Canis lupus familiaris: one gene and its partners. The protein of the gene in region 1 binds, or shares a complex with, the protein of each later gene. Links are inferred from orthologs where the notes say so. Each region holds a gene or a part of one and is shown in the gene's direction. Other genes may lie near its edges.

What was found.
Region 2: the proteins of S100B (region 1) and RPS6KA1 are in contact, whole or in part, in a crystal structure (PDB 5CSJ), measured with the Homo sapiens proteins. The link is inferred for Canis lupus familiaris from reciprocal best matches to the Homo sapiens genes S100B and RPS6KA1. Residues at the interface, in NP_006263.1 of Homo sapiens: Ser42, His43, Phe44, Leu45, Glu46, Ile48, Val53, Val57, Ala84; in NP_002944.2 of Homo sapiens: Ala697, Met698, Ala699, Ala700, Thr701, Ser703.
Region 3: the proteins of S100B (region 1) and CAPZA2 are in contact, whole or in part, in a crystal structure (PDB 3RM1), measured with the Bos taurus proteins. The link is inferred for Canis lupus familiaris from reciprocal best matches to the Homo sapiens genes S100B and CAPZA2. Residues at the interface, in NP_001029727.1 of Bos taurus: Ile37, His43, Phe44, Leu45, Glu46, Ile48, Lys56, Val57, Thr60, Phe77, Met80, Ile81, Ala84, Cys85, Phe88; in NP_001013016.1 of Bos taurus: Thr267, Lys268, Ile269, Trp271, Ile274, Leu275.
Region 4: the proteins of S100B (region 1) and FGF2 are in contact, whole or in part, in an NMR structure (PDB 2M49), measured with the Homo sapiens proteins. The link is inferred for Canis lupus familiaris from reciprocal best matches to the Homo sapiens genes S100B and FGF2. Residues at the interface, in NP_006263.1 of Homo sapiens: Glu47, Ile48, Lys49, Glu50, Gln51, Glu52, Asp55, Lys56, Cys85, Phe88, Phe89, Glu90, His91, Glu92; in NP_001997.5 of Homo sapiens: Arg164, Tyr166, Cys167, Lys168, Asn169, Gly170, Gly171, Phe173, Arg186, Lys188, Asn243, Asn244, Tyr245, Arg262, Lys267, Gly275, Gln276, Lys277, Ala278, Leu282, Met284.
Region 5: the proteins of S100B (region 1) and CAPZA1 are in contact, whole or in part, in an NMR structure (PDB 1MQ1), measured with the Homo sapiens proteins. The link is inferred for Canis lupus familiaris from reciprocal best matches to the Homo sapiens genes S100B and CAPZA1. Residues at the interface, in NP_006263.1 of Homo sapiens: Glu46, Glu47, Lys49, Val53, Lys56, Val57, Thr60, Phe77, Met80, Val81, Ala84, Cys85, Glu87; in NP_006126.1 of Homo sapiens: Thr265, Arg266, Ile269, Asp270, Trp271, Asn272, Lys273, Ile274, Leu275.

Annotation. Positions count from the first base shown.
Region 1 is NC_049252.1:39,766,561-39,771,211, reverse strand, and holds the end of S100B (protein S100-B), read left to right. Parts: intron 1-471; coding exon 472-610; intron 611-2,084; coding exon 2,085-2,225; 3' UTR 2,226-3,171; downstream 3,172-4,651. UniProt on the Homo sapiens protein: Small zinc- and- and calcium-binding protein that is highly expressed in astrocytes and constitutes one of the most abundant soluble proteins in brain.
Region 2 is NC_049223.1:72,901,645-72,907,774, reverse strand, and holds part of RPS6KA1 (ribosomal protein S6 kinase alpha-1), read left to right. Parts: intron 1-879; coding exon 880-1,005; intron 1,006-1,227; coding exon 1,228-1,317; intron 1,318-1,687; coding exon 1,688-1,846; intron 1,847-6,130. UniProt on the Homo sapiens protein: Serine/threonine-protein kinase that acts downstream of ERK (MAPK1/ERK2 and MAPK3/ERK1) signaling and mediates mitogenic and stress-induced activation of the transcription factors CREB1, ETV1/ER81 and NR4A1/NUR77, regulates translation through RPS6 and EIF4B phosphorylation, and mediates cellular proliferation, survival, and differentiation by modulating mTOR signaling and repressing pro-apoptotic function of BAD and DAPK1.
Region 3 is NC_049235.1:55,890,066-55,896,804, forward strand, and holds the start of CAPZA2 (F-actin-capping protein subunit alpha-2), read left to right. Parts: upstream 1-2,812; 5' UTR 2,813-2,919; coding exon 2,920-2,958; intron 2,959-6,739. UniProt on the Homo sapiens protein: F-actin-capping proteins bind in a Ca(2+)-independent manner to the fast growing ends of actin filaments (barbed end) thereby blocking the exchange of subunits at these ends.
Region 4 is NC_049240.1:18,219,470-18,225,599, reverse strand, and holds part of FGF2 (fibroblast growth factor 2), read left to right. Parts: intron 1-1,833; exon of another isoform or gene 1,834-2,595; coding exon 2,596-2,781; 3' UTR 2,782-3,248; coding exon of another isoform or gene 3,249-3,646; 3' UTR 3,647-6,130. Other genes in the region: NUDT6 (nucleoside diphosphate-linked moiety X motif 6), read right to left, coding at 3,249-3,646. UniProt on the Homo sapiens protein: Acts as a ligand for FGFR1, FGFR2, FGFR3 and FGFR4. Also acts as an integrin ligand which is required for FGF2 signaling. Binds to integrin ITGAV:ITGB3.
Region 5 is NC_049238.1:63,670,318-63,677,101, reverse strand, and holds the start of CAPZA1 (F-actin-capping protein subunit alpha-1), read left to right. Parts: upstream 1-2,895; 5' UTR 2,896-3,350; coding exon 3,351-3,389; intron 3,390-6,784. Other genes in the region: ST7L (suppressor of tumorigenicity 7 protein-like), read right to left, coding at 548-630, 2,424-2,895. UniProt on the Homo sapiens protein: F-actin-capping proteins bind in a Ca(2+)-independent manner to the fast growing ends of actin filaments (barbed end) thereby blocking the exchange of subunits at these ends.

The DNA of each region.
Region 1 (4,651 bases):
GGACGATCCACAGCCCCCGAGGGCTCTCCGGGTCCCGACCCCCCGGGGGCTCCTCCATGACCTCCCCGTGCTCCCGAGGCGGCGCATGTGGCCTTTGTGCCCCAAGTTTCCAGTTCAGGGCGAGGCTGCGCCGTGGCCATGGTCCCCGAGCGAGGGAAGCGCAGCCTCGGAGGCCCTTTGCTTGCGGAGCTGGAGTCACACGTTCCTTCAAGGGCTGCAAGTTCCTCAGGGTCTTTGGAAGGAGGGCCGTTCCTTCATGTGGGGGTGACGGCGGGGCCAGGGCCGCGGCTCAGCTTGGGGTGCCCCGTACCCCGCCCCCGACGTGGCGGATGCCCCCCCTCGGCCTGCTCCACACACCTCACTTGGGGCCTTGGCCTCGGAGCCCACGGGGGGGTGGTGGGCCAGGGGGCCAGGGGGTGGAGGGCGGCCCCGAGGAGCGAGGAGCGCTGAGCCACTTGTCTCCGGCGCCAGGATGTCGCAGCTGGAGAAGGCGGCGCTGGCCCTGCTCGACGTGTTCCAGCAGTACTCGGCGCGGGCGGGTGGTGGGCGCAGGCTGAGGAAGGCCGACGTCAAGGAGCTCATCGGCAGCGAGCTCGCCCACTTCCTGGAGGTGAGGCCCCGGGCCGGGGGGCGGGAGCGGCGCCTCCGGGGGCCCAGCACAGTGGGGTGGCGCCAGCTCGGCCTTGGGGCCCTCAGGGGGCCACTGGCTCCACGCTCAGGCTTGGGGAGACCGGCCGCGACCCCGCGTGTCCCCCGCACCCCAGGCCCGAGCCCTCGAGGCCATGAACTGCAGTCCCAGGGCACCTGCCTGCCCTGGCCGCCCCGAAGGTCACCCGTCGGACCCCACACGCGGGAAACGGCCACGCCATGAGCCGGTGCGTGAAGGTCTGACCACGACCTGGTTCCGGAGACGCTGCCGGAGCGCTGGGGTCTGGCCCTGCTCACGCTCGGGAACCGCCCCCCGATCCCCAGGCCCCCCAGTGCCCTCATCCCCCCAGTGCCCCCAGTCCCCATCTCCCCATTCTCCTGTCCTCCCAGGCCCCCCAGCCCCTCTCCGTCCCCCCAGACCCCCCCTACAGCGAGGCAGCACCACAGCCCCACACGGACTCGCCCTCGCTGGGACCCGCCTCCCCAAGGCAGGGGAAGCACCTGCAGGCTTCAGAGCGGGGGCGACTCCTGGGGGACCCAGGACGCTCCTCTCAGGCAGGGGTCGAGGTGCACGCCCCTCAGCCCATCCCTCCCACCTCCTGACCTAACAACCCAAACCCCCTGGTTCCTCTGTGAACAGGATTGTTCTCGGGATGAAAGGAGACAGTGTTTGTCAAGTGCCCAACATACACTGGAAGCTCAACAAGTAATTTTCAATAACTGTTAATCATTGATTTTTAAAAATATTAATTATTGGTTTTAAAATGATTAGTAATTATTGATTTTATCAGCAAATCATTGATTTAAAATTACAGCTTTAAAAGCTTAGCACGTGGGAACCAGTTTATAAAATAGTTCACGGTGAGCGCGGCCGGGGGTCATTGCAGAGAAAACACTTTCAAAACCCGAAACCTGGGGATCCCTGGGTGGCGCAGCGGTTTAGCGCCTGCCTTTGGCCCAGGGCGCGATCCTGGAGACCCAGGATCGAATCCCACGTCGGGCTCCCGGTGCATGGAGCCTGCTTCTCCCTCTGCCTGTGTCTCTGCCTCTCTCTCTCTCTCTCACTGTGTGCCTATCATAAAAAAAACAAAAACAAAAACAAAAACAAAAAAACCCCGAAACCTGCGGGAAGGACTTCCACACGCAGTGAGGAGCTCGGGGAGAAGCAGAAGTCCGTGCTTCTGTCCATGACGCCATCCTCCGCGGCCCCCTGGATGTGAGCCCGGCGACGGCGGGCGGCGGGGGCACATACCCCGCATGTCCCACGGTGCCTTTCTGGGAGCGTCCGGTGGGGGAGACGCTGGGGCCCCGGCCCCTCTGCCGCCCCGTGAACATTCTCTCTGCTGCGGACACGTCGCTGCGGTGGCCGAGGGTCAGGGACGCGCCGCGGGCCTCGGCTCATCGTAAGCGGCGGCGCAATTTGTCCTCTCTCGTAGGAGATCAAGGAGCAGGAGGTCGTGGACAAGGTCATGGAGACACTGGACAGTGACGGAGACGGCGAGTGCGACTTCCAGGAGTTCGTGGCCTTCGTGGCTATGGTCACCACCGCCTGCCACGAGTTCTTCGAGCACGAGTGAGGCGCAGCCGCGCAGGAAGCGGAGCGGGGCCGAGTCCCTGGCGCCGTGTAGCTGATTAGGAAGCTTGACGTGCTTTGTCGAGGAGACGCCGACCCCCTTTCCCGGGGCTGACCTCGGGGCCCCCATCCTCCGCTGACGGTCCGTGCGACGCGGTCACGATCCTCAGGAGGGTGTGTGCTCCGCCCGTGGTCAGGGCCGCGCACCCCCCCCCCCCAACAACGCAGCTGCCGGGACCCAAAGGATGGCTCTGGACGCACGTGGGTCCTTGTCCAAAGTACCAAGTTAGAGACGCAGCTTCGCCCCGTATCCTGTGAGAAGCCTGCCTTTTCCTAAAATGGGTTTGTCATCCGTGCGAAGGAAACCCAGGGTCGGGAGGTGGCCTGACACGCCTGCCGCCAGACGGCCAGGGCATGCTGTCCCCGGGTCCCCGCTGAGCCATGGGAGCTCAGCAAACAGGGCTACAGCACTGGGCGGGGGCAGGGGGGGCGGGTCTCCCGGCTGTCAGGGCCGACACCGCATTCTAACCACCTTCAGCGGGGCTCCTGTGCCCCGGGTCACACGTTGGTGCCGAGGCAGGAGCGCGGCTCCCAGCAGGGCGTCCACGCCCCTCCGCACACAGGTGTTCTGCAAACAGCCCCTCTGGCCTCCCCTCCTGTCTGGGAAGCGCAGGTGTCGTTCCTCACTTGCTTGTGCCGAGACAGGGTCTGCCCCGCAGCGGTTGGTGGAGCCCGAGTACGTGGGAAGCTCGACGTCACACATGGGTACCCACGAATCCAAACGTTCAAGTATTAAGTCACTTCCGGGAAAGTTCAGATTAACCTTTTCTGCCCCTTTCCCTGCTGCTTCTTTACGTGCACAGACCTGGAAACCCATAAGCCAATTGATCGCTTGTGTTTGCATCGAATAAAGAGAGCATTGTAACGGGTCCCCGTGGCCTTGAACAGGAGGCTGGAGGGAAACTGCTGCAAAGGGGGGGAAGCAGTAAGGGGCAGGCACAGGAGGCCCCCCAGAGCCAGGCGGGTGCACAGGGCCCGGGACCCTGGGATGTGCCGGGGCGGCAGGGAGTAGATGCGGCGGGGTGGGGGCAGGAGGGCCGGAGGGCAGGCCAGCACCGGGTGGGACACACCCTGGCCGAGGCTCCCACCCTGGACGCAGCGCTGGGGGGCAGGGGGGGCGGGGGGACTCGGAGACAATGGTGGCGGAAGCCAGCGCGCAGGGACCATGTGCAGGGACGGCCCATCCTGCACCCCTGGATCTGTGTCTACACCGCAGTCCCTGCCGGGCGATCCGCAGGCCTTCCTGCCGCAGAGGACGGGGGACAGGGCAGCTGGGATGCCGAGCAGGGTGCAGCGGGTGTGTGGCAGCCCGGGCGGGCCCTGCAGGGCTGGAGCCTGACGCCCCAGGGCCTCCGCCGCCAGGGCCCCTTGCTAAGGAGCAGGTCCCTGGAGGAGCCCTCACAGTAGAAACGCCCCGAATCCTGCCCCACGAGGCCAGGCGTGCACGCAGGGAGGGTGCCCCCTGCACACAAACACCCGCCAGGACCACGTTCCATGGCCGCCTGGCCTCCCAGGCCCGGGCCGACGGCAAGGCTGCTTCAAGAACTCAGCTGATCCTTCCCCTCTGAGAAGTTAGGGGAACAGCTCCGTCGGCCTAGATCCTTCTAGAATCGTGCCTGCCTTCCCTGTAGGGTGGGCGTCCGGAGCGGACGGGGTGGGGGTACCCAGCATCCCAACGCTCCAGGCCCCCACGGGCCTTCCCGTCCTGGGCTCCTGGCAGCCGGGCCCCCGCCTGCAGCTTCCTCGCAGGGAAGGCTGCTGGAGGGTGTCTACACCACAGGCCCCCACCTCCTCTCCCGGGGGCCTCACAGCGTGTGATCCCCGGACCCACCGTCCTGATCCGAGGGGCAGGCGTCGTCTTTCACCACCAAGCAGGGGGCGAGCGGGGGCCGTCGCTGCCCTTTATCCTGGGAGTCTGGCATTTTGTAAACTGCTCTTCTACTTCACTGATCGTGTGGTTTTGATTCTCATTCGACTGATCGGGTGTTCTCACAAAATACACTTTGTATTCCCGGGACAAATCCCCCAGGTCATGGTCTAGGATTCCTTTGTATCGTTTTGCGTGTTGATGGATTTTATTTGCTACTTTTTTTGAGGGTTTTTGTGACCATGTTTGTAAGAGACACGGATCCCTCGTTTCCCAGCCTGTGTAACGGTAGCCGGGGACAGTGGCCTCTCCCATTTCTAGGAAAGTTTTGTGAACAACCAGCATTAATTTGTCTTTAAATGTTTGCTAGATTCCAGCGGTGAAGCCACCTCGGTGGGTAGTTTTTTAACTACTTACGCATTATCTTTACTTGTTATTGGTCTGTTCAGATTTTTCTTCTTGCGTCAGGTTTTGTAACTTTTGTCTAGGAATCTGTGCGCTCG
Region 2 (6,130 bases), on another chromosome or scaffold:
GGATGAGACAGTTACCTTCCCAGTGCTCTATTTCCTCAGCTGTAAATGGGGGTGATGATAGAACATTTCTCCATAGGTGGTTTGTATGTGTAAAGTTAAGGTGACTAATATATTATACCATAGGGAGGTCTTTGTCCAGGACAAAGTTTTTTTTTTTTAAAGATTTTATTTATTTATTCATGAGAAGCACAGAGAGAGGCAGAGACACAGGCAGAGGGAGAAGCAAGCTCCATGCAGGGAGCGCCCCATGTGGGACTCCATCCCGGGACTCCAGGATCACACCCTGAGCTGAAGGCAGATGCTCAACCACTGAGCCACCTAGGCATCCCCAGGACAAATATTAAACCAGACTGGATACAAGGACAACAAGCCTGAACCAGGGGTCATGTGGTCACCTGCTGAAAAGTACTGTGAATAGGGCCACACACTAGGCACCACAGAAGCATTTGCTATTATGAATGGCTCAGAACTGTAAGACACCTCATGAGGTGGGCTATGACACCCCAGAAGGGGGAGGCAACTCACACAAGTTCACAGAAGGTGGCAGAGTTGGGACCCAGCTCAGGGCTCCTGCGTCCCTCAGGCCTGCCCTGCTTCCTCAGAGCCACAGATCTCTCGATGAGTGTGTTGTGGCTCTGTTGCCTGCCCCCCTCACCCCTGTCTAACCACAGCCTGGAGCCGTTGCAGGTGCCCATATAGAGTAGAAAACTGAGGCCCAAAGGGCCAGATTCTTGCTCAAGGTTACGGGACCAAGATTCTGCCCCAGGCCTCTGGCTCTTGCCTGGTGCCACCTCCACTGAGCCAAGGCCTTGGATGCTGGGGGATGACCCCCACATTCTAGAGTAGAGGATCAGCCCCACCTGTTGCTCTCTCCTACAGCAACTCCACGGGAAAAACCTGGTTTTTAGCGATGGCTACGTTGTAAAGGAGACGATTGGTGTGGGCTCCTACTCCGTGTGCAAGCGCTGTGTACATAAGGCCACTAATATGGAGTATGCTGTCAAGGTGAGCCTCTTGAGCGTGTCTCAGCCAAGGCTGCTGGGCTGTGGGGGGAGGCCAATGTAGTCTTGGCCCTTTGGTGGGGGAGGGTTGGTTCCTTAGGCTCTGTGGGTGAGTGAAAGTTATGTGGCTGAGACTGTCCCCCAAGGCCTACAGGGTGGGCTCCATGGCAAGGATGGACTCTGGAGACTGTCCTCCTGATATTGCCCATGTACTCTCTTTCCTCAGGTCATCGACAAGAGCAAGCGGGATCCCTCAGAAGAGATTGAGATTCTTCTGCGGTATGGGCAGCACCCCAACATCATCACTCTGAAAGACGTAAGTGGGGTCCTTGAGACTGGGATGGGGCTGGGGCACTCAACTCTGGGATTTGTCTCAGGACTACCATTCCTTTGATTTCTAATTTTCCTCTGCTCATGAGAGGAAAAGATCCTTGCTTCCCAAGTCCCTCCACTTCAGGCTCAGGCATTCTCAGGCATTCACTGCCCCTTGGTGGACCAGTGCCAACATCCTCCTGTCTAGGGAGGACAAGGCCCCAGATAAGTGAAGCCCCTGTGAGGGCCACTGAAGCACAGAGCAGAACACATGTCCAAGGCTCATGTCATTCTTTCCTGGCCTAGTGACCGGGTAACCAGGGGGCTCAAGCCTGGCATGGAGAGGAGGGACCTGATGATGAGGTCTCTGGCAGGTGTACGATGATGGCAAACACGTGTATCTGGTGACAGAGCTGATGCGGGGTGGGGAGCTGCTAGACAAGATCTTGCGGCAGAAATTCTTCTCCGAGCGGGAGGCCAGCTTTGTCCTGCACACCATCAGCAAAACCGTGGAGTATCTGCACTCCCAGGGGGTAAGTCTGGGGTAGGGGGCACTCAGTGGGGATGATGGGCTGCCGAGGGTCATACCATCACTACAGTGCATGAGCCATGGCCTGGCCCAGGCAGTAGTAGTCTTCAGCCAGCCAGACAGAGGGGAGACTAGGGATGGTGGGTGGGTAAGTAGATGCATGTAAGGAAGGGAAGGAGGGAGAGATGAGGCCAGATTGTGAAATGGACTGTTTACACAGTACTTACTGTGTGCCAGGCACCATGCTAAGTTCTTTCCTTACATTATCTCAATTGATTTTCACAACAATGCAATGAGGCAAGTGCTATTATTGGCCCCACTTTACAGGTAAGAAGACCAAGGCTCAGAGACGTGAGATCACTTGCCCAAGGGCACACAGCCAGGGAAAATAGAGCCAGAATGTCTGACTGAGGCCTGTGGTTGAAGAGCTACAGATAGAGCTGTGAGTTGGGAAGCAGCAGGGCCAGCAGGGAGTTGAATCTGGTTGTGGGTTTGGCTGCTAGGACAGAGGAAGTGGATGCAGGAAGAAATGCTGCTGGAAAGATAGCAGGTACTAGAGAAGAGGTATTTGTCTGAACCATACGACTTGGCCTTTATCATTGCATAGGATGGTGGTAGAAAATTTACTGTGGTGTGTATAGAAGCTGAAAGCAGAGTTAGCATGAGTTTCTCCCTGGAGAGATGATGTTTTGGGGTGCTTCCAAGTCAGACAGCGTGGGTTCTGGGATCCAACGATTAGCTGTGTCCAAGTCCAGTGTGTATGGTTGGGAAGGCCTCTCACCTCTCAGCCGCTTCCTTATCTGCAGACTCAGGATAGTGGGAGCCGCCACCTTGCTGCACTGGGGAGGAATAGGGCCAGATCATTGCTGTGCCTTTTTTTTTTTTTTAAGTTAACTTTTTATTAGCAACGATTTTAAACATATACAAAACTATGATAAGAGTATAATGACCCTCCAGATACCCATCACCCAGATTAAAGAATTGTTGAGATTTTTATCTCCCTTCTTCCCTTTCTCCCTTCTTCTCTTTCTTTTCTTTTTTCCTGTTTCTTTCTTCCCTTCCCTTCCTTTCTGCTCTCCTTCCTTCTTTCCTTCTTCTGCTTTCTCTCTCCCTCTCTTTCTTCTTCGATGTTACTGAAGTATTTCTCCCAACTTTTTATTGAGGAAAACATTCAAAGTTAAAAAGAATCTTATAGGGATGCCTGGGTGACTCAGTGGTTTAGTGCCTGCCTTTGGCCCAGAGTGTGATCCTGGAGTCCTGGGATCGAGTCCCGCGTTGGGCTCCCTGCATGGAGTCTGCTTTTCCCTCTGCCTCTGTCTCTACCTCTCTCTCTATGTCTCTCATGAATAAATAAATAAGTAAATTTTTTTTTTTTTAAAAAGAATCTTATAGTGAAAACCATTTCCCTTCTAGGTTCACCAAATCTTAACAATCTGCCACATTTTCTTGATCTTTGTTTCTCTCTTAGTCTCTACTTCTCTATCTTTATCTCTACATATAAATATACATTTTTTATAGTTGCATTTGAAAGGAAGTTGCAGACGCTATGACACTTGGCTCATAAATACCTATAATTAAAGTATTTTCTTTTGTTTATTTTTTAAGATTTATTTATTTATTCATGAGAGAGACAGACTGAGAGAGAGAGGCAGAGACATAGGCAGAGGAAGAAGCAGACTCCTTGCAGGGAACCTGACGTAGGCCTCGATCCGGATCCCGGGATCACGACCTGAGCTGAAGGCAGGCGTCCAACCACTGAGCCACCCAGGCATCCCTAATTAAAGTATTTTAAAACATATCTTAGACCTTTCATAATCTTAGTTGTAGATCCATAACTCTAAAAAAGACATTTTCTTTCATAACAACTCTCAAAATTAACAATTACTGTGTTCACGTAGTAGTCAATAGATACACTTCCCTATTGACCTTTCAAAAAATCTTTTTTGCCATTAGCATGTTGGAATCACAGTCTCTGCATGATTTACATCTTTCATTCACTTGTTACTCCCTTAAGTCTCTTTAAAAGCTAGGATAAAATTTGCGTACAGTAGATATTAAGTGTATAACCTGATGAGTTTTGTTAAATGTGGCATCATTTATGGCATCATTTTAATTGTTTCTGTATTGCCTATATTTCTGAAGTCTTAATTATATTCTGCATCAACTTCTTTTCAGAAGCAAGGAGTTAAAAAACACTTCATGGGGGCACCTGGGTGACTCAGCCAGTTAGGCACCTGCCTTTGGCTTGGGTCATGGTCCTGGGGTCCTGGGATTGAGCCCCGAGTCAGAATCCCTGCTCAGCGAGAAGCCTTCTTCTTCTTCTCCTCCCTGCTTGTGCTCTCTCTCACTGTCTCTCTCTCAAATGGATCAATAAAATCTTTTTTTTTTTTAAGATTTTATTTATTTATGAGAGACAGAGAGAAAGAGAGAGAGGCAGAGACAGAGGCAGAGGCAGAAGCAGGCCCCATGCAGAGAGCCCAATGTGGGACTCAATCCCAGGTCTCCAGGATCACGCCCTAGACCGAAGGCAGCGCTAAACCGCTGAGCCACCTGAGCTGCCCTAATAAAATCTTAAAAAATAAAAACAACAACACACACTTCATAGGAGGTGCAGTGTACTTCATATGGCATCACATCCCCAAGCACAGTGTAACTTGGCCCCCATTAGTCATTGGTCCTCTCAGGTGGTCACAGTCTAGGGATGAGTGAATGGGTGGCAAGTGGTGAGTGAGTCTGATGGTGTCTTGTAAAGACTTGCACCAGCCTTTCATGGTTTCATCCTTTCAGGATCTTCGCCTGAATTAATCATTTCATTAGAGTTTGCAAAAATGGCAATGTCTGATTCTGTCTAATTTATTAGGGAAGATTCTTTTGTAAAAAAAATAATCAGAGCTTTAATTTGGTTACCACATGTACTGCTTTAATGGTCATGTTTGAAGAAGTTTTGGCTTTTGAAATGGTCAGTGCAAATAGGCTAATATTTAAATAGATCAGGTCAGATAGTAAATGCTTCCTTTTCCTGTTTTGTTCTCAAGTGGGTGAGTACTAGGTAAAGTTACCCCAGGAAGGTTTAGAAGACAGAGCCAAAACAGTGAGTTTCCAGTGGGTCACCTAAAGCTCAAAGCAAGGACAGACTTTCTAGAGTAAGAGCTGCTTCCTTAAAAAAAAAAAAAAAAAAAAAAAAGAGCTGCTTCCTCTACTAGGGATATATAAACTCTAAATACAGACAACCACTTGGTGAGAGTGTTATGGGGAAAAGTTGTCTCTTTCCCCATGCCATGAGTCTGTGGGTCTCTAAATTTTCTGGCCCTTTCCAAATACCAGGGGAGATGATGAGGAAATGGGAAATTCTCATTGAGGGATTAGAAGGGAGATTCTTTGAGCTGATTATGAATTGGCAGTATCTGTAGTCTAGAAGCTGGGAATCTCCTAAGAGGGATGGGAAGGGGATGACCAGGAACAGGGCCCACTGGGACCTTCTCTTTGATTTAATGTTATCTTTTTATTGAAGTATTACATAAACATGAATCATAATGTACAAGTCAGTAAATTTTCATAAAGTGAATAAACACACACATAACCAGCACCCAGATTGAGAATCAGAGCTTTTCTAGTTTCCCCAAATTCCCTCATATCCCTTCCAGGCCCTGCACCCTTCCCGAGGATAACCATTCTACGCTAACTGCTAATAGCTTAGATTAGTTTTCCCTGTCTTTGAATTTTACATACACATACTCTGTTGTATCTGGCTTCCACCACACCACATGCTCTCTGGGATTCCTCTACCCTGTTGCCCTGTGACTGTAGCTTCCTCATCCTCATTTCTGTGTAACTTCTGCTGTATGAACAGACAATGCTTTGATTGTCCATTCTACTGTTAATGGACATTGAGTTGTTACCAACTTTTGACTATGACAAGTAAATAATGTTGCTGTAAGATTCTAGCACTGTCTTTTGGTGACTACACATGTGTGGCTTTTGTTATTGTTGTTGTTGTTTTTTAAAGATTTTATTTATTTGAGAGAGAGAGAGAGAGAGAGAGAGAGAGAGGGAGGGAGGGAGAGACCATGAGCAGGGGGAGGGGCAGAGAGAGAGGGAGAAGCAAACTCCCCATCCAGTAGGGAGCCCGATGTGGGACTCGATCCCTGGACCCCAGGATGATGACCTGAACCAAAAGCAGATGCCCAACTGACTGAGCCACCCAGGAGCCCCACACATGTGGGTTTTAATGCTGTGTACAGACCTAGCAGTGGACCCTCCGGGTTGCAGTGTGCGTGTGTGTGTGTGT
Region 3 (6,739 bases), on another chromosome or scaffold:
TGGGTGTCCCTCAAGTCCTTTAAATTATCTGAGGCTCAACTTACCTGTAAAATGAGAGGCTTTTGCACTAGATGTATTCTGAGATTGTGATTCTAAGAAATTAGGTAACTTCTGACCTGGAGAAGCTTAAGATTAGTTCAGGACAGAGAGCACATCCACAGGAGAATAGATTAAGAAGCATACAAGGAAGTTAACAACAAGCACGACAAAATAAAATAAATAAAATAAAATAAAATAAAAACCCAACAGGTTCTGGTTCCATTAGTTTGGAAGGCAAAGATCATACCACTAATAAGTAGGAGAAAGAAGTTTAGAAATTAAATGAGAAAAGGGTAGAAATTCTCAGTAGGTAGGATTGTGTCGGGAAGGAATATTTTGTTTTCTTTTCATGATAAAATAACTGGTTATCAAGAATACTAGTATATTTTGGGGCACCTGGGTGGCTCAGTTGGTTAAGGGTCTGCCTTCAGCTCAGGTCATGTTCCCAGGGTCCTGGGAGGGAACACCTGTCTGGCTCCCTGCTGAGCGGGGAGCCTGCTTCTCCCTCTCCTGCTCCCCCTGCTTGTGCATTTTTTCTCTCCCAAATACATACATAAAATCTTTCTAAAAACAAACCAATAAATCCCTTCACTCAGTAGGAAATGAGTAGCTGTCAACAACTTTTGAACAGTAACACGACATTAGAAACATGCCCAGCAAGATCAATCTTGCTGCATGTAAATGACACATGTGAAAGTACCTTCACACAAGTCACTATAAATCTAGAAAACACTGCTATTAAGTAATTTACTGAGTGTTCAGAGTATGCAAATCATTGTTTCTTGTGGATGGAAAGCAAACAGAAACCATACTATTGAAAACCTTGTAGTCCATTCTGGGAGAGAACAGGAAGGGGATGCTTGCTGACACGTGAAGGAAAAAGCAGGTGTGTTGTTGAGGATAATGGTGCAGAGAAGGTATGATAGAGAATAAACCACACGGTTTGGTCAGGGACCTCATCGGATGTAAATAAATAATATGTTCATTTTTCTATAGTTGACAGGTCATTCATTCATTGCTTCATCAATTTCTCACTACAACCTCATGAAGTAAGGTATCTATCAGCATTACTATACCCATTTTCCAGGAGAAAAAAACGAGGCTGAATATTTGTTCAAGTTTGCACTCAAGCGACTAAATTGCTATTAGAATCCAGGCCTCTTGAAAAAAAAAAAAGAATAATCCAGGCTTCTAACTCTGTATCCTAAGTTGTTGCACTTTGAGATCTTTCTTCCTCTCTAAAGTCTAGGCACTCTCCTCCATATACAACCTAATGAAGGTGATTACTCTCTCCAACTGATTACTATCAGTTTTAGTCATCACCACTTGCTGCATCAACTCTACTTCTGGGTTTTTTTTCCCCCTTTCTTCTGTTTTTTGTTTGTTTCTGTTTACTTAGCAACACCTAATATTAATGTGTACACACTGGGTTTCTCAGTAGATGCTGTTGCTTGACTAACAGGCTGCTCTTTTCCTCTAGAAACCTCACCCACATTTGGTAATGCTTTGCAATAATTTGAGTCACACTATCTTCATAATCTTGGTGATACTTTATATGCGTCTCTTCACAGTGACACAACCAGCAGTTATGTATCATTTCTGATAATCCTTTCAGAAATCTCCCAATACCATCTTCTTGATACAGTTAAAAGAAATTATAGAATTCATGCGCTTGACTGAATGAAGTCTTTAAAAATATTTTTAAAATTGAGACATAGTTGACCTACAACATTGATTTAGTTTTAGATGTACAGCATAACGATTATAAAGTCTTAAGTCCTATCTGAATTCTACAGGCCTTGCTAAAAAGTGTGAGAGAGCTTGTTATAAAGGCAGATTCTCCAGCCCCATCGCAGACCTCCTAGAATCAGTAACTGCATTTTAACAAGATCCCCAGCTAATTCACATACACAGTTTTTACTACATTTTCACTCTTTTGCTGAACTTGAAATGTCACGAGTAAGCTTCTCAGATTTTGCAAATCAAAGTAAAGGATTCCCATACAATTTGAAAACCACCAACACCGTCTCAGTGCATCCCAAATGCTTCATGGGAGGTACTTATGCATAAACGATATTCACTGTTCATCTGAAATTCAAATTTTACAGGGCTCTCTGATTTCAACCTCGCCATGAAGTTCAGAAGAGTAGGAACCACGTCTTCTAACACAACTTTGTCTTCCCCCACCATAGCACAGCGCCCTCCCCAACTGCTCAGTGCTTGTTTCCAGAGTAGACAGGGAGCCTCTGGAGAGCAGAGATCTCTGGTTTTCTCTCCTCCTTGTGTATTTGCAGGGACCAACCCGGCACACGGTAAAGGACCAGTTAACATTTCTTTAAGTGAATGCACGACTGACTGTACCGAGAGCAAGGTCCCGAGTGTGGGCTGGGCTGTGCGTGCATATTTTAATAAAGACGGAATATTTTTCTAGTGATTTGAAGAAAACAGATGGTCTTGCAAAGCTTCTATTCGTCCGCTGTTTCCCCGGGTGGCTGGCAGAGCCGAGGGCTTGACGGGAACACGATGGAGGGCTCAGGATGGATGGGCTCAGCATGGGCTCAGGATGGGCTCAGGATGTACCCGCCGCAGACGCGGGCCCAGCTGCTCACCCGCGGCGGCAGGCCCCGCCCCCCGGCGCTCGGCCCCGCCCCCCGGCGCCGGCCGGCTTCCCGCGCATGCGCACAGCCGCGCCGGCGGGGAGAGGGGGGAGGAGGAGGAGGAGGAGGAGGAGGCGGGGCTTCCGGGGCGCGTGCGCGGCGGGCTGGGCGGCGGGCCTCTCCCTCGGCGGGGGCGCGCGGGGCGCGGAGGACCGCACGGCGCGAGGGGGAAGTCAGGTGGCCGCCGCCGCCGCCGCCGCCGCGGTCTGTCGCCGGGAGGAAAATGGCGGATCTGGAGGAGCAGCTGTCCGATGAGGAGAAGGTAGGAGCCGCGCGGGCGGCGGAGGCCGGCGGCCGCGGAGGGGCCCCGGCGTGTGCCCTCGGCCGCCCTTCCTGCCCGCCGGTCGCCGCGGCGCCTCAGCGCCTGCCGCTGTCAGTCACGGAGGCCGCGCGCGGGGGCAGGTCTGCGCCGGGCCTGCCTCGCCGCGCCGCGCCTCGCCGCGCCTTGTAGGGTGTGTGCTCTGGAAACAGGCGGCGGCGGCGGCGGCGGCGGGGGCGGCGGGGGCGCGGGGGCGCCGGGTCGCGGCCTGGGCGCGGGGCCTGGGCTGGCGGCTGCCGCCGGGCTGAGAGCCGAGGGCCGAGGGCTGAGGGGGCAGGCGCCTGGGAGGCCGACCCTCGCCTCCTCCCTCCTCCCTCCTCCCAGAAGCCAAAACGCTTCCTTTTCTGGTTCTCGACGCTTTTTTTTTTTTTTTTTCGCTTTTTTTTTTTTTTTTTCTCCTTTCCCAGTGGAAGTCTCTCTTCTCCCTCCCCCCCTCCCCCCCCCGCCGTCTCCCGTTTCTCTTTTCCGGCCGTCGCCGTAGCCGTGCGGCTCCGCGGTTGGCTGCGAGGCGGCCCAGTCGCTCCCCGCGACCCCCGCCCGCCCCGCTCCGCGTCGCCGTCTGCCGCCCGCCCCGGCCCGGCCGCCCCGGCGCCGCTGTGGTGGCGGCCGCGCCAGCTTCGAAACCTCGCGAACGGCCCCAGAGTCTCAAGCGATTTCGAACAAAAAGGAATCTGATCCTAAAACTGGGTCTCTGAGGTCGCCCCCCCCCTTTCCCTGTGAGGAGGGCCCATTCCCCAGGGAAGAGGGGGAAGGGGGGGAAGGGGGGAAAACGGGGGGGGGGGGCGTATTGATTTTCCGCATTTTCCCGGAAGAACTTTGACGTTTCTCAAACTCAGAAACGTTGACGGGACCTAATCTGTGGATTGAGATAGTTACAGTTTTCCAAGCGTCCACTCTTAATTTCACAGTGTTCACCTTTATTTATTTATTTATTTTTATTTATTTATTTATTTATTTTTTAAGTTCCAAAGCGGTACAGCCGCGGATGAAACACACTTCAGGGTGTTTAAGAAATCCTAATGTAAAGCCTAAGGATATTTTCAGTTACAGCTCTGCTCCATGTTTTTTTTGTTTTGTTTTGTTTTGTTTTTTTAATAGCCTGGGATGTAAACCAGCACCAAAATGTAATGTCCTGTCGCCTTCCCGATGTAAATGTGCATTAGTGGGCCTCATCTTCGATTTTGGAAATCTTCCTTTCCTGTCTTTTCCTTCTTTCCTTTACCCTTCCCTTCCCTTCCCCTCCCTTCCCCTTCCTCTTCCCTTCCCCTTTCCTCCCCTTCCCCTTTCCTTTGCTTTGCTTTGCTTTGCTTTTCTTCCCTCTGAGCCCTTTGGTGCAAGTGATCATAAAAGGACAAGATGGGGAGAGCTGCAAGGTTCTCCCTAATTCACGGACCTGGCAGGCAGATCCCTTGCATATGCAAAAGTTGCTCTGAAGTGTGCACTTGTGCTATAATAGGTTAAATAACCATGAGTTCACCACAGAAAATGTTCAGGATCCGAGCACACACGTTTAAAGTTAGTGCTAAAGGTCTTTAAAGGGATTGTCATGGTCTCATTCTGCTGTCCTTAAGTAGTGGTTAGTAGTTTAAGTGGCTAGAATCTGGCTGAGGAGAGAGAATTCAGTGCGGCAGTTAATAGAGTCCTGCCGTGTGTTGTAAAGGCCTAAAAATGGCAAAGTTTTCTCCAAATGAATTGACGAGGTTCCTCATTATCTGGCATTCTCAGGGCACTAAACTCCCTAAAGAGGAGGGAGGAGGGTGTCTTAATCCTCCAAGCTTTCCCAACTTGGTGGTTTAAGACTAAATGAATGAAAATTCAAATTTGGGGCGCCTGGGTGGCTCAGCGGTTGAGCATCTGCCTTAGGCCCAGGGCATGACCCCGGGGTCCGGGGATGGAGTCCCATCCATCTCGGGCTCCCCGCAGGAAGCCTGCTTCTCCCTCTATGTCTCTTCCTCTCTGTCTCTGTCTCTTATGAATAAATAAAATTTTAAAAAAAGAAAAAAAATTTGAAGGAATTTGGTGTTTTTGTTGTTTCCTAAGACTATTTTGTTGATATTTTCATATATAGTTCATTGCTATATTTAGTGATTTAAGAAGACCAAACTTCTGGGTTACATTCAAATAACTGGTGAAATGAAATGCTAACACACTTGCCACTTTAGTTATTTAAATGTTCTTTTAATCTTTTGTGAGTAGGTTGGGTATAGAATCAAATAAAATTTTAAAAGGTGGTATTTTATTTTTATGTATTTATTTTTGGTATTTTAAAACTAATATTTAAATCGTGTTACTTTTTCTGCCACCTTATTTGTAATTTTCAAAAATAAACTTTTAATACTATTAAGCTGTTGGAATTTCCATTATTGATTGAAGATCTGAAGAAGGGAATCTGTTAATTTACATAATACCCGTACATTGGGTGGCCCAGACCGGTACATACATTTGTTAATATGTTGTAAGTTTGAGGTAGGTTTTATTATACCATTTCACAGGTACATAAAATAAGGTTTCAGTAGCTTTTAAGTGATTCACCCAAGGATGCCTAGGTAAGAAGTGGCAGAGGGAATATATATACATATATTTTAAAGATTTTATTTATTTATTCATGAGAGACACAGAGGCAGAGAGAGAAGCAGGCTCCATCGATGCAGGGAGCCCTATGTGGGACTCGATTCCAGGACTCCAGGATCAGGTACTGAGCCAAAGGCAGACGCTCAGCCACTGAGCTCCCCAGGTGTCCAGGCAGAGGGGATATTTATACCTGTCTGTCTGAATCCAGAGTTGGTACTGTTGTGACAATTACGCTCCCTTGACAATGAATGATAGGATCTTTTCTGGCTTTATCTTTGTTTTCAATTTGTTGACAACTTCTTTTGGAAAAGGAGAAAACAGTAGTTCTTTTTGTTTTTACTAAAAATTGTAAATATCTAACATTAATAGTGTTGCATTATAAACTGAATTTGTTTATTTTAGGACAAAGTTTATTATTTACACATTTTAAAATTTTATGCTACTGGTATAGTTTCATATATGCAAACTAAGGTAGGAAGCATTTTATAAAGATTCATCTAGAATAACATCTTTGTTTTTTAAAATCATGTACAATTGCTTTGTGAGGATACCACTATGAAATTTAATAACCTTTTCACCTTTGGCCACTAGATTAATAGGAAATAAAATTATCTGAAGAAGCACAGTGATGTTCTTTAAAGTTACTCATTTGTGGTAGCACGTCCCAGAGATACTTTTTTTTACATTGTTTAGAAATTCTAGGCCAAAAACAGTTCATGTTTTCCATTCCTGGGGTTAGTTGCATTGTAGAGTAAAGCAATTTTGTGAATTTGAAATTATGTGAAATTACAGTATAAAGCAGGAGAATTAATACGTTTCACGCCCCTCCTAACAGAGGAAAGTCACTCCCGAGCTCCAGAAGGAAGACAGTTATTAGTTGGAAAGGATCTTTTTGGTTTTTTTTCCCTATAACCCCTCCTACCTTTCTCTGATGATAAGAGTGATCCACTTCCATAGCTTCATTTTTATGAACATTTCTCAAATACATAGCTCAGTCCTAACTTCCCTTCTGAGCACTAGTCACACATTTTTATTGGCTCGTCCTTTTCACAGGAGACAGTTAATGAGATGTGTTCAGACGGAACCTTCCTAAGAGTAAATTCATAAACTCCCTCCCTTCCCCTTTCCTTCTACACCAAGTGGGGCAGAAATC
Region 4 (6,130 bases), on another chromosome or scaffold:
TTTCCACACTGTATTCTTTATAAGTAAGTCATTTTACATAGTCCACATTTAAGATAGGGGCTTATTCTCCATCTCCTTGAGGGGGAAATCTCTACAAATTTGGAATTCTTTTGCATGAGAAATTTGTCTCTTCTCCATTTATTTATTTAATCACATCTATCAGTATATACTCATGGATACTGATTTTATACTTTAGGTTATAATCCAATATTGTGTTATTTATTTTGTTCAAACTACTTTTGCCATGGCCATTGGGAACTTTTCCAGTTGACTCCTATACTCTTTGACATACCCCCATCAATGTAGTTTGAAAAATGTAGTTTGTTTTCAAGTGTGTAATAGTTTAGTAAATTTACATATCTGAACATTCACAGGTGCAAGTTTTTCTTCCCTCCCCTTTGTTTTTGTAAAGGTACAAGTAACTTCTATTAAAAAAAAAAAGTGGATTCATGATGTATTATCCACTTAATCACTGGTACTATTACTTTTCTCTGAAATAGTAGGAGCTAGCTGAGAAGGCAGATATTGTTGACTTAATATATATCCCAATAGGTCTGTCATTGTAGGGAGTGCCAACTTAGCAAGGAGGGCACCCTGGAGGCTGACAGAGCACCCCAAAATCAGTGTCCAGAATGATGTGGTTTAGGTCTTCCTCTGGGAAATTAGCCGGAGAAGCTCAATTATAATTATCTTTATGATTACCATGATTTTTTTTCACTCTTGAACCTACTTCTTTTACTCCTGATCTTAAACCTGGAATAGGGAAAGAGGAAGACTTTTTATCAGTGGTACTGAAAGATGACAAAATAAAGTAACACTGGTTGACTTATGTTAAATGAAAAGCATAATAAATTTCACCAAAGGTAAAGTGGAAGTATTGGCCATGGACCATCAACATTTTTCTAGGTATAAGTGTTTCACCATTATCACACTTGAATCTTTACATTTATCACAGAGCTGGGTCCTTGTGCAATGTGTGCTTCTCTGTAATGCTACCTGTCATTTATTTGCATCAGAAGACTAAGTTGCTTTATTAGTAATTTCTTGCAAAAAATGGGCAAATCAGATAAATTCGTATTGCCATTCTTAAAAGTTAACAGTGATCAAAAACATTAAAGCCAAGTAAATATCCAGTTAAATTTTTATCCCTAGAAGCAAATTATAAGATCGAATACCACACTTTAGATAACAGAGACGGACTGTTACTCCCATTTAGATCATTTGCATTTTGGTTATTATGTCAGCTCTTTTCATTGTTCTGTTTATTGATTTACGTTTTTCTCAGTTTGTGCCACTGTTTATCTAAGAACTAAAGAATCTGGAAAAAGTCTTTTGAATGTGTCTTTTCCTAAACCTGAAGTTTCCTAGATTTGAGTAGTAGAAATAAGCTGGAATCTGGTACACTCATTAATACAAAAATATAGGCTGATATCATATATCTATGTATGCATGTTGTACTTAAATGTAAAGATACAAATATGTATAAATTTATATGGTTTTCTATAGGAGTTTATAATTTTTTCTTCCTAATTGTAATATAAAAAGTAAATTAGTTTTCCTTTCTTCCCTTATAGTAAATTATTTGTTGACACCCTCCCGCCCCACCCAACACACACCCCAGGGGTCAGAAACTATCAACAGTCTAACCTGTCAAGTTGATTTTTGAACATTTACTTGAAATAACGTAGCAGCCTATTAGACTCCATTACTTGGAATAGTATTTCCAGGTCTAATTATTTGTAAAGCTAGCTATCCTCCACCCCCAGTAAAGAGTTGAACCTAAATGATAAGGGAGAGTAGTTTCCTCTCTCACAAGAAAGACACTGCCAGAAGTCAGTATGGTCTTTGTTACTTAGTAGTCTCAAAACACTAACAGATAATGATTCATCAGATGTAATGTTCCAATACTTTTTTTTGGCATTATATACATTAGCTATTTTCTGTATAATAAACTGTTCTTTTTATGCCTTAGAAACATTAACCATTAGGAAAGCATTGCTATAGTTTAAGGAATTGATTCTGTTTCTGTGAGTAAAGTAGCAACAAAGCCCTTCTTCTTTAGGAAGGTACTTCTGGGTTACTCTTCTAGCACTTTCATGGAACCCTGATAAAAAGAAAAATGATCCCTAATCGGTAACCTGCCTCTGGACTGGGAGGACTATGGATGCACCATAAATACCTAACCGGAAACCACTAAGTGTACTGCGCTCTTTGTTACTGGGCGTATCCCCCTTTGTGAAATCTGTGTTCATTCACGGGATGTTTCCAGTCTGAGGCAGTGTGGTTCCTATAGCAGCGGTGTGCTCTTGCTGCCTAATACCTGGCCTGTCCATTGTGGGGGCTGGACATTGGTCCTTGGAGTCTTCCTCTGAAGAGATGTGCTTGAAAGCTCTCCCACTGACTTGCTGTGTTCCTTCCTGCATCCCTCTACAGAGTTAGATCCTGTCTGACTTTGGCCTGTTGAGTCTTGCAAACTAGTCTGTCCTGCTCAAGCCAAGAGCACTACTGCTGATTGAGCAGAATGGACAGTGTACTATCCTAAGTATTTCATATGAAAATATAATAGTAACTATTAATTCTTCCTTTATTTTTCAGAAATGTGTTACTGACGAGTGCTTCTTTTTTGAACGATTGGAATCTAATAACTACAATACTTACCGGTCAAGGAAATACTCCAGTTGGTATGTGGCACTGAAACGAACTGGGCAGTATAAACTTGGACCAAAAACAGGACCTGGGCAGAAAGCTATACTTTTTCTTCCAATGTCTGCTAAGAGCTGATCTAAATGGCAGCATCTTATCTCATTTCACATGAAAGAAGACGTATATTTTAGAAATTTGTTAATGGAAGAAAAGAAAAAATGTGTACAGTGATCTGCTCTGTTTGGATAAATGGTCAGATAACCTTTTATCTAATAGTAAATATTTAATCATTGCCTTACTAAAGAAAAAGCAACAAAAATGCCTGGAAAATGTATAGACTTCCACCTTTTATATTGCATTTGCCTTTATCTAGTGAAGCTTACTTAGAGCTACAATCTTTTTCTTACATTTGCTTCATTTGAAAAGAGGCTTTTAAAATTTGCACATTTTCTTCAAGTAAGTTTTCTTCATGTAAATTATACTCATGAGAAAATTAAAATCAGATATTTAGTTAACCCCAAATGTCCACTACTTTTTATAATATGGCACACATTTTTCTGCACGTACAATTTACTTAAGATTTTTTAAAATGTGCAAATATGGATTTAATTCATTCCTGTCATAGTTCTGTAATTGTCTGGCAGTTTCTTGTGATAGAGTTTATAGAACAAGCCTGTGTAAACTGCCGGAAGTTCTTCCATGGTGAAATCAATCTTGTCAAAGCCTTCTCTATACCCATAGAGCAACAGCCTAGCAACTCTGCTGGTGATAGGAGTTGTATTTTCAGTCTTGATCAGGTCATTGAGATCCATCCATTCACACCTTAAGCATTCATGCTGGCAAAAATTTATGGTGAATGAATATGGCTTTAAGCGACAGATGATATACATATCTGACTTCCCAAAAGCTCCAGGACTGGCGTGCTGTTGCCGAATGCTCAGGAGGGACTTGAACTCTGATTTTATACCAGTCTCTTCAAAAACTTCTCGAACTGCTGTGTCTCCTACATAAAAGATAGGTGTACAAATCAGTAAGGATCTGGATTTGCCTTCTGGACATCCTGAAATACCAAAGTATTTTCTTACAACTATATATCTTAGAAGCTTTTGAAATATCGAATATTTCTTTGGCTGCTATTTGTAGACTTACCCACCTGGTATGTATATTTTGGGGGTCACATTTTTAACCTCTTCTGACTCTATTTCCCAAAAGTTGAAAATACAGGTTCTTGCAGTTAACATTCTTACATATTTCTTCATTATTTCCTGTTTGTGATCATCCATCAAAACTACTTAAATTTATACATATCAGTATTGAGAAAAATTGATTCATTCTTCCTTTGTCTGTAGAGCTGCAGAATGTACTGAGCTGTGAAAAGTTCAAAACCTTCCTGGTGATCTTGGGTGGGACTGTCAAGCCTCTAAAGTCATAGAACAGTTTCATTTATAACCATTTTGTTATGCTCCCCTAATTATTCTGTCAGTGGAATCCCATTAGTAATTTTTGGCATTTCCTTGGTTTCTTGAGATTCCAAAGAACTATTTTATCAAAAGTGTTAAAAAAAAAAAAAAAAAGAAAAGCTTGCAATTTACAGAATTTTATAATACAACATGGATTTCACATTTTATAAGGTTGATTTTTCAATATTATGCAAATTTCTGGGACAGGATTTTGATTGCCATTAATATTTCTGTGGTTGCTCTTTCTAAATCTCCAGAAGAACCCCCTAAATGGGCTTTCTCTAATTTTGTGATGCTTTGTCACTGTCTCCTAAAGTGTTTATGAGAAACTCTTTAAATAGCTGCCTTCTTTGCTCAGTTTGCTTAGAAGCTTCCCAATTTCACAATTGTCACAGGCATAGATTTTTGTTCAAAGACCTCTATTCAATGCTTCTATTTCCTTGTCAAATAGAAAATTATACTGGTGAAGAATAGGTAAGGAAGAAGAAATCAAGGAAAAAATCTCAATTTTCCTGTAGTTGGGCTATTGCCTTGTCTTAACAATTGCCTACATAAGCTCATGTTTGTTTGTTTTTTAAGAAACAGCTATAGCAATATGCACAGGAAAAACAAAGTGTTCTAAAATGTAAGACATTTGTCCACCATTTTGAATTAATTACATGCTGACTTCCCCTTGAGATTTTTCATAGATTAAACATGGTTTGAAATTACTGTTTTAAACTAAAAACATAAAAAAGGAATTTATGTGAATAAAAGGAAAATCTTCCTTAAGAAAGATAATTTTCAGCTGGGAATACAATAGATGTTTGTTATTAAATTTGTTACAGGTTGTGGCACTAGTCTTAAGTGAAATCAGCAAATGAGATTTACAATTTAACTATTGTTTAAATGTTTACTCTGTTAGCACTTTAAAAAAAATAACCATGGGGGTTCCGTTAAGCTCTTACTACAACTAATCAAGAATTTGGCATTTCATTTGGAATCTAGCCTTTTTATGTATCATGGAGGCACAGGACAGACTAGTGAGTGAATCTACCTTACTCAGCAGTCACCTTAGCTGTTGATTAGAAATCAGCACCGCCTGGGTAGTTTGATCAGTTTAACTTGAGTCAACATATTATTGACTAGACTAAAAATTGACTGGGTATATAAGTGCTTTTTCATCCAGGATATGAGTGACTCCTTCCTCCTCAAAATGGAAATCTTTACCCCACAGCTTTTTTGCCATGAATTTAGATTTTATTATCCAGATAAACTGCTTTATTCTGTTGTACCTTTATTTTAATGTACTGTAAGCTCAAGTGAAATAACATTTACTATTTTATATGTTTAAGGAACATAGGAAAAACCAAGAAGTTTTCATTTTTATTTTTGCTGATTGAGAGATATGTTTAAATATGTCACAGTGTTTTTGTTTAGTTACGGGACAGTGAAATGGAGTTTATTTTGTTATTTCTAGTTTGTAATATTTAACAATAGGATCAGGTTGAAATAAAATAGGAAAAACTGTGCAGAATGTGGGTTTCCCTGGTGTTTCCCTCTGATGCTGGTGCACTGATGAGCTCTGAACAGACCCCCTGCTGCTTTCTGGTCCTTTGACCATGCAGGAGATTCTCTTCCTGTCGATGGTAATGATGATTTTTTAGGAAGGCATTTTCTCTGTTTTTAACCTTGTAGATACTTTTGTACTATTAGGGTATTATATTAAAGCCTGAAGATTGTATTCTATTTTATATATGCCACCGCCCCCCCCTTAATTTTTTTAAGTGCTTCATTTACCTAGTATTATCAAAGAATGAAGGATTCCAAACAAACGTGTTTCCCAGTTAACTAGAGTTTACTACTCAAGAGCTAATATGAATGTGTGCACATTTGTGATGGTTGTATTCCTAAAATAAATACACTCCTAAATACAGAGTTTAAAGAAAATAATTTCAATACTTAGGTAATTTGGCTCATCCTCAAGGATATTCTGTTGTGTTATAAGACAGAAATGCTCTAATATGGACATAGTCTCCAGAACTCTA
Region 5 (6,784 bases), on another chromosome or scaffold:
ATGTAAAAAAGGAATTTAATTTTTACACTCTGCCTATTTTATTCACTTTCGTTACTAAACTGGGCCCTGCAAGCATTTAGTTGGGAACCCACCTCCAATCCTTACCCTTTCCAGGATGCAATAGTATTCCATATACAAATAAATACTGCCAGTCTCTCAAAGTGGAGAGGAAGATGCAGTGTTTTTTTCAAATTCTGAACACATATTGAGAATGCTAATCTTTAAGTATGTGTAATTATGGTAACTATAAAGATATTTGATCTTTATTTTATTTTTAAAAAAAATTTTTAAAAGATTTTATTTATTAATGAAAGACAGAGACAGAGAGACAGAGAGAGGGAGAGGGAGAGAGAGAGAGAGAGGCAGAGACACAGGCAGAGGAAGAAGCAGGCTCCATGAAGGGAGCCCGATGTGGGACTCAATCCCGGGACTCCAGGATCACGCCCTGGGCCGAAGGCAGGTGCTAAACCGCTGAGCCACCCAGGGATTCCCCGATATTTGATCTTTAGATAAATACCAAATCATGAAGGAAATGGAAACTACTTACAAATATTAGTCCTGATATCAAAGAAGATGTTCCTGTAAGTGCCACATAGAATTTGGGTGTCAATGAATTTAAAAATACTGTCACTGCAAAAGGGAAAAAAAAAAAAAAAATCAAAGTTTAAAAAAATGCAAATTCAAAATACTCAAGTTACAAATATGCAGGAGTCTTTATGAGCGGAGGGATATAAATAGTGTTAATATCCAGTATGAGATTCATTTGAGAAAGTTGTAACTTTTAAAAAGGCACTTTAAATTCCCGTTCCATCATATCTTAAAAATTACCTCCGAACCTGTAAGGGTAGCATTTTAAACTGATAATTTGTTAAATAAGCAAATAAAGATGAGATAATTTAGATTACTTTTGAGAATTAAGAGATTATAAACCGTAACTTTGGTAAGAAGTTTTGCATATCCCTAAGGATAAACTAAATAAACATTCTGCTACAAAGGAGGTTAAAAATCACTCCCTAATTATTTTGGTGGGATACAAACCAGCGTTTTAAATTAGAAGGAATTAGCATGTGCATGTATTTGGTATGTCAGCTAGAGAGGCAAAATAAACCAAAGAGAAGAGCAACAGATCGAGAGAGATCTTTGCATCTGACTCACTGAAAGCCTGGACCAGATTTTCCACTTCAAATAACTGTCCCATAAACACAACAGGTTTCGGAAATAAATAAAAATCAATCATAGTTAACTACTTTCATCTAAATGGTGTATCTAGTTAACACATGGAAAAATAAATGATAAAGTCAACGAATAGTTTTTGCTGGGCATATGACTAGTGAGCACTTCATTAACATTACAGAGACACCAAATCAGCTCTTTCAGCCAATATATTTAGTTTGTTTTGATATGTTACTTATATCTGAGCTGATATACATAACCTATGTTCTAAAAAGTCCAAAATATTTCAGAACATTATTTTACAGTATTTCATGTCATCCTGTCAAATAGGTAAGGGAACATGTGCCTTTTCTTGCGACAGAAAACTAAACCACAGGTAGGGACAGTCACAGCCATCACACAGCACAAGTACTTTCATCTTGTTCGGAGCTTGAGTGGAAATATTATCAAGACATGGTAAGAGGCCCTGGGCTCCCATCCGCTTTGCCCTGGCTACAGGTAAGGGGCAGTATTTGCAGAATCCAGGGAATCAGCATCACTTCTTACACGTCCTCGTATGTTCAGCTCAGACTACAAAGCAAGCTCTCTATAAACGTTGAAAGGAGAACCCATCACTGTTGGTGGCTCTCTTTCCCTTCACTTCCTGTGCCGTTTTATTACTCCGGATAAAGCCTACAGCAAAGAACAGGCCAAAATACCACGAAAACCATTTCTTGACAGAACTATCTCAAGATGAGACAATGGCTGGCTAAGTTCACGGCATTTTTTTTTTTTTCTTTCCTTTTTGGCCTTTGAATACATAAGCCCTCATCTTTGTTGTCTAGGTGTGGGAACTCTTCATCGGCGAGAGACTCAGAAGAATGATTTTCAAGGGATTCTACCAGTGCTGGGGGTGTATATAATTCTGCAGCCGATAGGAAAACGCTCTCATCTGTTGCGCTACCTGAATCCTACAGCTTGTCAGGTGGCTCTTCCGCGCGCGGGTCGACGAGGACAGAACCGGGAGGGCGGATCTTAAGAGCTCAAGGGAGGAGCCCATAGCCGAGGCTCAGGTTTGACAATCAGCTGCGGACCTGCGGCCCAGGAGAAGAGCGCCCTGGACCCCGCACCGCCGACTCCTTCTCCGAAGGCCTGCGGGGACTGCGGACAATCTCCGCCCTTTGCCCTTTGCCCCCAGCCACTCTCCTAGCCCCCCTCCCCCCTCCCCTCCCCCCCCCGCCCCCGTCCCCAGGGAGGTCTGGGCCTCTCACCCGCAGCCAAGTTCTCACACAGCCTCAGCGGAACCCTCAGAGCGTAAAGCAGTCCGAGCCCCGCCACGAACCACAGCGAGGGCCCAGTCCCCGCCAGCCCGGCCCGCAGTCGCTCCCTCCAGCCCAGCGACGGGCTCGGGCCGGGAGTAGGTGCGGGAGGAGCGGCCGCAGCGCTCGCTGCCTCACCCAAGCCGCCGCCGTCCGCCATCTTGCCGCTCCCGCACGCTCCGGGAGCTGGGAGGGGAGAAGGGCAGGAAACCGGGAGTCGGGAATCCTGGGATAGTGGCGGACCTGAAGGTGGCCTCTGTGAAAGCTCAGGTCCGAGGAACGCGGACCAAAGCCATTTGGAAGGTGGAGGAGCGTCCCAGTCTACCTTTCCTTCGGAGGGCGGGAAGGGGAGGCTAGCGGCGCCGATTCTGGAGGAACTGGACTGAGATGTGACCTCGGACTGCTGAAACGTTTTTGCTTCCATACGGCTGAGGGTCACCTTTAACCCTGTTTATGGGGTTGGAATAGCCACCGGCCGGTTCAGGGCCCGAGCAGCACGTAACCCTTTGGACTCGGCTGCCACGGAGATCACGGGTACTGGGAAAACCTATAGTAGCCATCGCTATTTTGTCGGAAGGAGCTCGGGCGTCAGTAGTCGAAACACGCTCCCAGCGCCTCCTGGATGAATGGGGACATGAATGCAACTCAATGAGAAAGCTGTTAGACTTAAAATCCTTTAAGGACCAGCCTTGAGGCCGAGCTACGGACTCCCCGAGGGCCGGCGCTCGGAACCCGCACCCCCGCCAGTAACTGACATGGCGCCCTCTGGGCCGGCATTTCCGGGCGGGTCCTTCCGACGGCCCCCGCGGTGATTCCATCACTCAGCTTCCTTCCCGGCCTGCCTCGCGCCGGGGCCGGGCTGGGCCAGAGCAGCCCAAGATGGCCGACTTCGAGGATCGGGTGTCGGATGAGGAGAAGGTAAGGGGTCCGCCTCTCTCTTTTGCGTCCTCCCGCGACAGGGAACAGGGGCCTGACCTGGCTGCGGTGGAAACCCTGGCAGTGTCCCCAGGTGGAAGAACCTTGCTGGGCTGTGCTGGCGGCATACCCGCTGCAGCTGGGACACTTCCGTCTCTAGGGGCATTCCTCTGCCTCACAGTGGCCCCAGTTCCCCATTCCTCAACTCTTTTCTCTCCCTCTGGGCCCGAGTGACAACCCAGTGACCTTCCCGGAAGAGGAAAGACTTTCCTTTATTGAGTCGTGGCTGTGGACTCTTTTTCTGTGATTAAGAGCGGGGTGGATGGTGATGTCTCGGATCAGGAAGCAGGTATTTTACCGCCTTTAACTGTCGGGGCTCGCCCCAGCCCCCCATTTTTAGATATGATTGAGGCTAGTTTAGGGCGAGTCACTTCCTGGTCAGGGTGGCCTCTTAACTTCCCTTTTGCTCCTCCTTCCTCAGGAAGTGATCTTGCTGTCACGACTCCTCGACAGGGAGAGGTCCCCGTGTGTTGCCCGCCCGTCCACTTTTCTCATTATTGGCTGAACTAATTCTCAGTAATAAATGTGCAAGCCTTAGGATATTTACCTCAGGATTTGAACACCACTCTTACCTATAGACCCTCCCTTGATTGATTGCACGTATGTACACAACAAGCCATGACTCTCCATCCCTTGCGTCTTACATACTATTAAGGGTAATTTTTGAAAAATAGTTTTTCTTGTTCACAAGTCAAGAATAGCCAGCGGATTTTTTTTTTTTTTTTAAACTCCATAAAGGTTTTATATAGCACATAAACTTCATGGTTAACAGATTCGGTCTGGACAAAAGCATCGTCTTTGATGCTCCACTGTGGTGTCATTGATTATAGTTAAATTTGTAAGTGTGTAATTTGCGTATTTACTTCTTTAAAAATGTTTTAAGTACAAGCGCATGCTCTGCGTTAGGTGGAATGACTTTTTGCTGACAACTGTACAGCTTTCTTAATGCTTTGTCAGGCTTTTCAGTAAATACTTGATTTTAGGGCCTGCAGAAATTAGAATGATTTCACTAGATGACTCGCTATAGGACAAGAGTTATGTCTTTTATTTATTTCCCACAGTGGCTGTTACAAAAGGTGCAGTCTTGTGTGCTCTATAAATGCATCTGGGCTCTTTCTTTTTTAATACAAGAGAAGAGATGACACAAGGGAATGTTAATGACCCAAGAGTATTCTGTACAGAGTAGTTTGATATGTCATACCTATGTATGCCATGTCATTTTGAAACCCTGAAGAATGTGCTAAACACAAGCCATTGAATAATACTTTGGCGTTAAATTTTCTCGTTCTTGAAAATTTTTGTGTGTAAAACTTAGGGGAGAAAAGGGTGTCATATATGAATTTATGCCGAACAGAATCTGCAATAAAATGTCTAGTCTAAGGCAAATAGTTATGATGCCGGTGAAATTAAATTATAGTAAAAATCACAATAACCCTACATTTGTTAGCTGAACTGATGGTTCACTTGTTTTAAGGGAAAATATTGTTAAAATTTCACTAAATACTACATTTACCAATATTGTTGGGTTTTTGTCATTGACAAAACTAGATGACAAAATTAGAATGCCTTTTTAATTAAACTTGAGAAAATGTATTTCAAGTGCAAATTGAGATGTCTTTAGACATGACAATGTTCAACAACATTAATAGTCTTGATTTTATAACAGCAGATTTGTGACCAGATTTGTAATCTCTTAGCATACTTTTGTTGCTTAATTTTAATAATGATACAGCAAACGTGTTAAAAAATATTTTTAAAAATCTTTAAAAAAAAAAAGATTCTTTTCCTATAAACTTTTCACAATGAAAGTACAATTACAGAAAAATTTTGCTTATTTTTTAAGATTTTATTTATTTATTCATGAGAGAGATACACAGAGAGAGAGAGAGAGAGAGAGAGAGGCAGAGACACAGGCAGAGGGAGAAGCAGGCTCCATGCAGGGAGCCTGATGTGGGACTCCATCCTCGGTCTCCAGGATCACCGCCCTGGGCCGAAGGCAGGTGCTAAACCGCTGAGCCACCCAGAGATCCCCCCCCAAAAAATGTTAAAATCAGGGATATTTTCAGACATAATTTGTATTGATTCCTCCTTGAAGGAACTCTGAAGTTTCCATTTTATCCTTTTTAAGATCTTAATTGCATTAGATTTCGAGTTTTTAAGGCATTTATGTCATGATGCTGAATATATTTTAATATTGCTTTTTATCTTTGTTGCATCTCCTAAAAACAGTGAACCCAGAGTTAAATTTGGTGTCGATAGTCTTTGATTTCCTTGCAATTATTTCTATAAAAGCTGGTAAGATCAACCATTCTCTTAAGTAACTGCTTGGGGTTTTTATCACTTTACAAAGAGGAAGTTGGGTTTTTTAACTTCTACATTGTTACCTGAAATGGTCATGATGAGCTGCCTAAATAAAACAGGAAGCTGAAAGTATAAAATAACTTGCAAAATAAATGCTTTTAGTTTTATTCTTGAGTTTAGTTTCTGAGAATAACAATGAGTGTATTCTTCTATTCACTTAGAGTCTTCAGTTACTTGGTTCCAAATGCTTAACAAGACCAAAATGACAAGATACTGTAATTAGGAAACTTGAAGTATGAGACAAACTACTTGCTTGGGGTCCTTGCACTGTCTGTTTCCTTTATTTCATGATTCAGCATTTTTAAAACAATTGCAGAAAGAATTTAAGGCCGGAAAAAAAAGTGCAATTAGCATATTTTTCCCTTCAGCTTAACTAGTAGAATATTTGTGAACCACCTCAAAAATACCATAACTGAGAAATGAGTCTGTATGCTTTAAGCTTAGACAATTATATCATCTCTAAGGCACTTTTTTGAGAAAGAGGTTTATCAAAATTATTTAGGAGAGATGTGGAAAATGTGAATAGATACAGAAATTTGAGGGCTCTCTCAGAGCTCATGAAAAAATACACATTTAAGCTGGATTTTTAAAATGTATATTACCTCCTTAGTTAATAAACTAATAATCATCAAATAAGATGATTTATTACCGTCATAGGATAAACGCTAGAGCTTATTTGCAATAGGTATTTTCTGACAAGTGATCAATTAGTGTTAATACTGCTATTCTTTTATCTTCCTTTTTTTCATTTGGTTTAGCTGAGTAGTTTTCATAGAATCTGTTAAAAAATCCTTAGATGGGAGCATAAAGCCTAAGCAGGTACAAATTCAGATGCCCCATCTTTGGTTAAGAGTGTAGGTTTATTATAATTTCTCCCAGAACATCTATTTTATTAGGATTAGCCTTAATGCTAAGCAAAGTATTATAATTTGTCAGAAAATTCAGACTCAGGTTTGTCTGAATCAGAAGCCTTGTAC